Linked DNA regions of Tamandua tetradactyla. The protein of the gene in region 1 interacts with the protein of each later gene in a biochemical or structural test. Links are inferred from orthologs where the notes say so. Each region holds a gene or a part of one and is shown on either strand. Other genes may lie near its edges. The genes, in order: GPRASP1 and OPRD1.

Region 1 (3,906 bases):
TTAGTCTCCTCCCCTGACACAAACCATGGATGAACTCCAGCTTGAGACTGGATCTTGGAGCCATGAAAGGACTCAGCCATCACATTGCCCAGATCCCTATCTACAGAAAAGGCATTAGTTTTAACAACTGACCCAGAATCAGTAATGATGAGTGGACAAGCCATGCCATTGGACGGGTCCACTACCTCTGACTTCGACATTGCCCCAGCCCCAATTTCAGTCAGGGCACATGCAGGGGGTTCTTCACTAGATCTTGCCCCAGGGATGGCCTTGGCCTCAGATGGAGGACATGACCCAGGAATTGCCATGACCACAGTTTGGGGTCTTACTCCAGTCATTACCTGGGACTGGGTCCTAACCTTGGGTCTGACCACAAGAGGGACATCAGACTCCCTCTCAGCCCCATCAGCAACCACTTCTCCAGTCTTCTTTTCAGATTTAGCCTGGGTTCCAGGCTCAATCTCAGCCCCAGTCATGTCCTAGTTATAAAGGAGGACCAGACCTATAGCCCAACCCCAGTCTCAACTTTGAACACAAATCTGTCACAGGTTTGTATCTTCACAGTCCAATCTTTCAGTGATTCAGGCTACAAAGTCGGAAGCAAGAGTTAGTGTCAAATGCCAGTCCAGCAGTCAATCAGCTTCGTTCCCAAACACAGCCTCTGCCACTAACAGACTGCAGAGCAGGTACAACCAAGCTGGGAAGGTTGGATGGTTCCTGGGTGGGCACAGACCTGATGAGGGTGGTGGTCGGGGGCAACTCTACCACCACCAGAGCTGTCACTGGAGGTGGATCTAGGGAGAGAGAAAGGAAAAGGGCTTTGAGCCTCTTCCAAATGTTGTCACCCCATGCAGAAATCCACACATGGAGACTGGATACTGAATGCTTGGTGAGACAGTGGAGCTCTCGGAAAGAGGCTCTGAGCCCTCATTTCATCTGTGTGCCTTACCCCTAGGGCAGCCAGACTACTTGATCGGCTATAAAACAAGTGGAAATGGTGGGAAAGTGGATTTGAAATGGGAGCAGCTGAGTCATCACACTGGACCTTGATCATTACAGAAAACATGCTTGCTTACATGACTCCACCCCATTACCCCACTCTCATACCAACCTGCACTGATATGATGCAATTTTCCCCTCTCTTCCAGGCTTCCAGCAGTGTCAAGTCTCACAGAAGACCTGCAGGTGATCCTACAGTCAAGTAAAGAAACAAGAGTGCATAAATCAGGAGCACATGGTAGACAGGCACATACTCTGGCCCCCGATGCAAATCCCTCCCTTTCCATTCAAGGGTCCAATGTTCCCACTCCTGGCCCCTACTCTCAGGTCTTCTCCTCTCAAACACAGCCCGACCTACTCCTACCCAAAAATTCCCAATATTCCCTGAATGAAATGCACAACGTTGTGGCACAATGCTGTGGCACTATGGAATCCTGGCAGAAAAGAAAGGTGAAGGAGGCCCTGTGCCAGCTTAGATCAAAGCCTTCTGCCATGTTCTTACTCTTAACTTTCCACAGGCATTCCCCCTTCAAACCAACCTCCAGAGACAAGCAGCTGTCCTCCTCCTTTGTTCCTTGCAGAAGCCACCAGCCTTAAAGCAGAACTAGGAACAAAGAGAATTAAATGTAGCATAGTCAGGAGACAATGATAGCAACTAGATGATTGGTGAGCAAACCAATACCCAGGATAAAAGTCCCAATATTATCTGCTTTTCAACATTTAGAATCCTGTTGGTAGATTATTCTCCATTTCTCCTTTAGGCTCTCTAAAGTTCCAGAGATGATTACACCATTTTTTCACCTCCCTCTCTCCCCATTAACTCCCTTCTGCAATTCTGAGGATTCACCACTAGAGGGAACTCAACCCGTGTCCTACGCAGCAAAAATTGGGGGATGGGCAAAGGCATATTCTAGAAAGCCGTACCTGTACCTGCGACTCCCTAGCCAACCCTAATCTCCAAAGCTCATTTATTTTAGGGGAAAGGGGGTGAAAAGTGCTTGGAACATTGACAAAGAGGGAAATATTAGGAGGTGCCTCAGTATCCCCCCAGACCTGCTCTGGTCAGTCACCACACCCTACTTCAGGGTCTCCAGTCAGGGATCGCCTCCCACTCCCCTGTCCCCACACACCTCTAGAAATCCAAGCCATTTTCCTGCTCCTGCTTTTTTTCAAGCCTGTCCTTTAGAGCCGCACACTGCAGGAAGACAGACTCCGCGAGACCTACCGCGCAGACAGGAGACTCTGGCATCAACAGGGCACCCACAGGAAGAAACCGGGCCCAGAGCTGCAAGGAAAAGCATCCAACATGCGGGGCCCAACAGGCACCTTCCCAGAATCTGGGCCGGGAATGGCGAACGCGACCGTCCACCTGCCGCCTCCGCGCAAAGCTCTGACGCCAACCCCCGCCTCTGGCGACCATCCCCTGCGACCCCCACCCCAGAGCCTCTCCAAGATCGCCCCCACAGCAGCCTCTCCACAGCCCTCTCCCAGCACAGACGCGGCCGGGGGCGGGGCAAGGGCTCCTGGAAGGCTGGCCGGGAAGCGGGCTGCGCGGTTCCTTTCTGCACGACCCGAGGGTGTCTCTCTGGCCACCTCTCCGCCCTCGGCCTGGGCCGCGCCGATCTCCGCATCTTCGCGTCAGGGGTCTCCCGGCGCTGCGCACCTCTCTCAGAGGCTGGCTCGGACCGCATTCTCTCCTCCTTGCCAGGATCCCAGGCTCAGAAGGGCAGGCCATCCACGGTCAACCGTGGCGACCACCTACCCGCCCCGGTCCCCCCGCCCCCACTTGCCTTTGCAGGCCCAGGGCCCAGCTCGTCGGCCTCCCCCTCCTCTCGAAGCTCCTCAGTCGCAGTCCCACCGCTCTCCGTGCCGGGTCAGAATCGCAAAGAGGCGCTCCCGCCCCCCACGCTGCAGAACCAAACCCAGCAGGGGCTGCGCAGGAGTGCGGCACGAATGGCTGGTGGCTAGAGTGTAAGGAAGTGGGGGCGGGAAGGGGGCGGAGGGATATGGGCGCGAATGCGCTCGACGCCCCCTCCCAGGCCCACCATAGTTCCGACCCAGAGGTGGGCGGGGCCAGGAGCCCCAGCCCGGGGAAGGCGGGTTGCCAGCTGGATGCCGCAGTGTATGCGGCCCCTTGTGTGGCGACCACCAGCACGCTTCTGGCACTAGGATACCGTATAGGGGAATGGAGGGCTGTTGGGGTGGGGGCAGGACCTGGTGGTCAGGTAGAGCCGTGCGGGAAGGAGCAGCGGATGAACACCGAACTGCGGCTTGTTGCGTATCATCTTTCCAGGGTGTTGATGGGAGATGGGGTGTCAGGAAAGCAGGGTGACGGGGAGAGGCGATTGAAGGCCAGAACACACTGGAGGGTCTAGAGGTGGTCTCTCCCATGTTCTTCCCTCATTACTTCAATGTGACAGAGAGAGGAGGAAGGAAGGCTCTTAATTAAAGTCGGGGGAGTGAGCATGGGGGTGGTGGTGGGGGCCCTCCTATAAGGTCCTGTCCCCTGCCCCTCTTCTAGAAGAAGGCACATCTAGACCTCTAACCCTAGGAAACAAACCATTCCTCTGTCTCCATCAAGAATCATTCTGTCACATTGCTTTTTTCTCTCCATTCGAAATGGCAGCTTTTCTTGGCATTACGGGGTTGCCAGAGTTACCCAAGAAAGAGGGCCTTTCTCTGTCAGGACGGGCACTGGAATACACAATCCATTCTGTCCATCTACTTGCAGCCACACCAGGCAGGGCCTACCCTGGCTCCTCGTCTGTCCTGTCAGAGCTTCCCTTCCCAGTCACACCCAGGCCCTGATAATTGGTGGCAGTGTGGAAATGCAGCAGTGATTCAAACCAGCTTGAATCTCGGGACCTTGCATTGTCATGTCTAGTTGTGCCAGGCCACTCTGTAGGG
Region 2 (3,906 bases), on another chromosome or scaffold:
GTTCTAGCTGAGGAAAACAAGTCATCTTGCCTCTCTCTGAGCCACAGAAACCTCATCTGAAAACTGAGAAGGAGAATGATGATGATGATCTCTACTGCCTGGTCCAACGGCTGTTGGTGAGGATTAAATAATTCAGAACCAGAGATACAGTTATCACATAAATGGTCGGCCAGGGAAATATCGTAGCAGCATGGGGACCTATGGAGACCAGCAATGTTGTAAGACGATTTGGGGAGGATGGTTGGAAGTGCACCTAGCAGGCTGAGCCCAGAGCCTCTCCAGAGTAGACTCTCAGAAGTGGGAGGCCCTCCCCTTGCTCACTGGTGGTAGAGGGATGTGTGCTCATCAACCCACCAACCACAGGGCCCTGGAGCAGGGGCTGCAAAAGGAACTGAACACACCAAGGCTCAGCTTTCCCCAGGCTTGAGCACCTGGAGCTCCCCTAGAGACAGCGGATGCCAGGAGCCTGGAACTCTCCAGCTAGCAATACTCAACAGCTACCCTCAGCACAAGCACCTCCCTCCCTTTCTCTCCTTTAATGGGCACTGGATTCTGCAGAATCTGGAAAATTCCTCCTGTTCATCATACACATGGCTTTCAGTTACTGGGGCCAAGCACCAGGCCAGCTACATTACATTTTCTCTTTCACTGATATTTCACAATACCCTGTTGAAGGTTCTATTACTTTCATTGCATAGATTAGGAAACTGAGGCTCAGAGAGGCTAATGACTTGCCCAAGTCTTAGAGTGAATATATGGCAGAGCTAGGATTAATGCTCAGGTTGTCCTAACCATAAAACCTTTGCTGCCTCCGAAGACAAAGAGGAGAGAGTGACTAATAAAAATGTAAAACAAAGATCATATCTGCCTGTTACTTGGGGGAATTTTCCCACTGTAGCCGGGGGTGAGTCATTGAAAGCACAGGAAATTCCTGAACCCTCCACTTTTCCTAGGGAAGCAAGGATGCTGCTACTGATGCCAAAGGTCTCTCAACACTCCCACATCCCACCTCTCCATGCCCCAGCACACAATGCTCCGCCCTGCAGAGACCCCATACTTTGGAATTCTTACTTATCAACTGAGGAGTTAGGGTCTCTCTTTTTCAGACTGGGAAACTGAGGCAGATGGGAGGTAGGATGGAGGAATGAGCCCCCCACTGTAATGGGCATCAGAGACTAGGCTGAGACCACAGTTCACATTCAGCCTCTGAGTCCACAATCTGCTGTCTGCACTGTCTAGTGACACCACTGCCCAGAGAGGTTTAGGGTTTAGAGGTCAACCAGCATGGACAACCCATCTCCAATTAACAATAAACACCAGGGCACCTGTGATGTTATAAGGATGGGAGTTTCCTCTCAACCCTTTTTGCCTGTGTTTGAGCTAACCGGGTTGGGTCAGGAGGGCTGCTTCTGGGGCAAGCTGATGACATTTTAGACTCTCTGAAAAGGTCTTGGAACTGTACATAGATACTAAAAAGAGAACCTCACTTTCCTGGGTGAAGGCACAAACTCCACTCCAGCCCAAACATACCACTGCTGTACCTGGCCAAAAAAAAAAAGATGGGGGGGAGGAGAAAACGGGAGAGGGCATTTGTGAGGAGGATCTGGGGCCTTTCTGAATCATGTCCAGACTTCCTGACTGGAAGGCTTACTAGGGAAAGGAGCAGGAACCGACTGTGACCATCAGACCCACAGCGGCCGTGGGTCACTGGCAAATGCAAACACAGTTGTGCAAACATACATCTCTGACGCCACTTTGGAAACCCTAGGGTTTCAGGGGGTTGACAAAAAATAACACAGTCATACTGTCACATTCTCATACATGGAGAATCACAAACTGACACACGCCAATACAGGGACTCCAATAGACCATCACCAAATGTAAATTGGTAAGTGTCCTCACAAATGCCCACCCTACCTGTACGGTAGGTACCCACACACTCTCCCCCAGAATTCCACGGCACCTTGACGCACCTCCACCCACTGCAGCCAGGTCTTAGAAGTCCAGACATACAATACATTTGTACTGTCACAAACACAGAATCACTCACTCACAAACTGACAGTCACACAAACTGTCACCAAACTGTCTCACACACCCTGCTGTAGCAACAAGGGGATGCCAAAAGAAGATCAAATGTTAATTTCGCTAAATGCGCGCGTGCACACACACACACACACACACACACACACACACACACACACACACAGATTCCTGCGTCCCACTCTCGCATGGGCAGGGGCCAGTGGACCCTGGGCGTCTCCTGCAGGAAATGCAGAGATCCAGAGAGTGTGGAGTTTGGGATCAGCGTCCCAGTCCGCGGTCCCCACCCTCACCCCGGGGTCCAGTCCACGGCGCCATCCTATAGAGGACTCACCGGACGATGCCGAACATGACGAGCACGTTGCCCAGCAGCCCCACGGCGCACACCGCCGAATAGAGCGCGGTGATGGCGATGGCCAGGGCGAGGGATGAGGCGCTCCGTGCGCCCGGCGACCCCGACGCATTGGCGCCGGCACTCGGGAATGCGCTGGGGAAGGCGTCCGACGCGTTGGCGAGGAGCGGGGGCTGCAGCTCGGCGTCAGCGGAGGGGGCCGGCTCCATGGCTGCCGGGCGGCCGGGGCCGAGTCCTTCCCCACCGTGCGCCCTGGGCGCAGGGACACGGTGCGAGGGGCGCGCGAAGTGCCGTGGCCGCGGCCCCGACGCCGCCGGCTGCAGCGCCCCTGCGGCCGCCCCGCTTTCTGCGAGCCTCCTGCGGCTGTCTCACCGCTCGCCCCGGCCCTGCCACTGGCGCACGCCCACTCTCCTTGCCCTGAGCGCTCGGAGCCAGGAGCCGCTGCGGGCTCCTCGGACGCGCCCGCCGCGCGCACCACGTGGCCCGGAGGCGGCCGCCAGTCTGCGCCCGCGACCGGGGGCGGGCGCGGCACCAGCGGCTCGGAACTGGGTGGGGGAGGCCTCCCACCCTCTACCCGAGGCTGCTCCGGGGCCCAAACTCCCGCCCCGCTCCCGCCAACCGGGGCTCACCTCCCCACCCTCTTTGCGGCTTTGGAGTCAGGAGAATCTGAATGGGAATCCCGCCTTTCTCCCCTTCACTAACGACCAGAGTGACCTCGAAAAAAGTGACCTAACCTCTCTCAACTGCATTTTCCTAGGCTGTTAAATGAGGATAATCGCACCACCTCCCTCAGAGGGTTGTTGGGGAGATTAAATAAGATGAGGTGGGTAAAGAATTTAGCTCAGTGCCAGGCACACAGTAAATAAATTGTTATTCCATGTTTTTTCTTTTACTCCATTCATTCACTCAGCACATTTCTAACTGCCTAATGCAAGAGCTAAGTGCTATCAGAGATCCCCGGGTGGGCAAACTCAGATGCTTACAGCCCACGGGGGAGACAGCAATTCTAAAATCACGCGAAGGAAGAAATACTTACAAATTGAGAAAAGTAAATATAAGGAATACAATCCAGTGGCAGGGTCTTTGAAACACTGGGGTAAGGACAGTTTCCCTGAGGAAATGACACAAGGTGAGATGTGAAGTTTGAAGAGAAACTAATTTAGGGAAGAAATAAGGGAAGAGTGTTCCAAATGAAACATATGTGCAAAGGTCCTGTGGCAGCAGGGAAACCTGTTGGTTTCCTGGAACTGAAAGGAGGCAAGGAAGCAGTGAATGCAGGGAGTGAGTTGGGGGAGAATGGGATGAGGTGGTGGGAAGAACCTAGAAGACTACCTTAATTACTCGGGCTGCTGTAGGAGCAGATGGAAGGGCCCCATCGGGTTAATTCATCCTTCTCACCCATATCCTCTGACCTACCAGCCTAGAACCGGAGGCATCATCTTCCTTGGGGGTCCTGCCCTTCCCAGAACATTCTCTCTATAGAGCATTACTCTGTTCCAAGACTATGATAAG

Evidence for each region.
Region 2: the proteins of GPRASP1 (region 1) and OPRD1 form a complex in vitro, tested with the Homo sapiens proteins (2 studies listed by BioGRID and IntAct). The link is inferred for Tamandua tetradactyla from reciprocal best matches to the Homo sapiens genes GPRASP1 and OPRD1.

What each region holds. Positions count from the first base shown.
Region 1 is NC_135353.1:70,949,361-70,953,266, forward strand, and holds the start of GPRASP1 (G-protein coupled receptor-associated sorting protein 1), read right to left. Parts: upstream 3,031-3,906; 5' UTR 2,790-3,030; intron 2,396-2,789; exon of another isoform or gene 2,285-2,395; 5' UTR 2,130-2,284; intron 1,604-2,129; 5' UTR 1,539-1,603; intron 1,192-1,538; 5' UTR 1,112-1,191; intron 795-1,111; 5' UTR 477-794; coding exon 1-476. UniProt on the Homo sapiens protein: Modulates lysosomal sorting and functional down-regulation of a variety of G-protein coupled receptors. Targets receptors for degradation in lysosomes via its interaction with BECN2.
Region 2 is NC_135328.1:197,341,839-197,345,744, forward strand, and holds the start of OPRD1 (delta-type opioid receptor), read right to left. Parts: upstream 2,604-3,906; coding exon 2,377-2,603; intron 1-2,376. UniProt on the Homo sapiens protein: G-protein coupled receptor that functions as a receptor for endogenous enkephalins and for a subset of other opioids.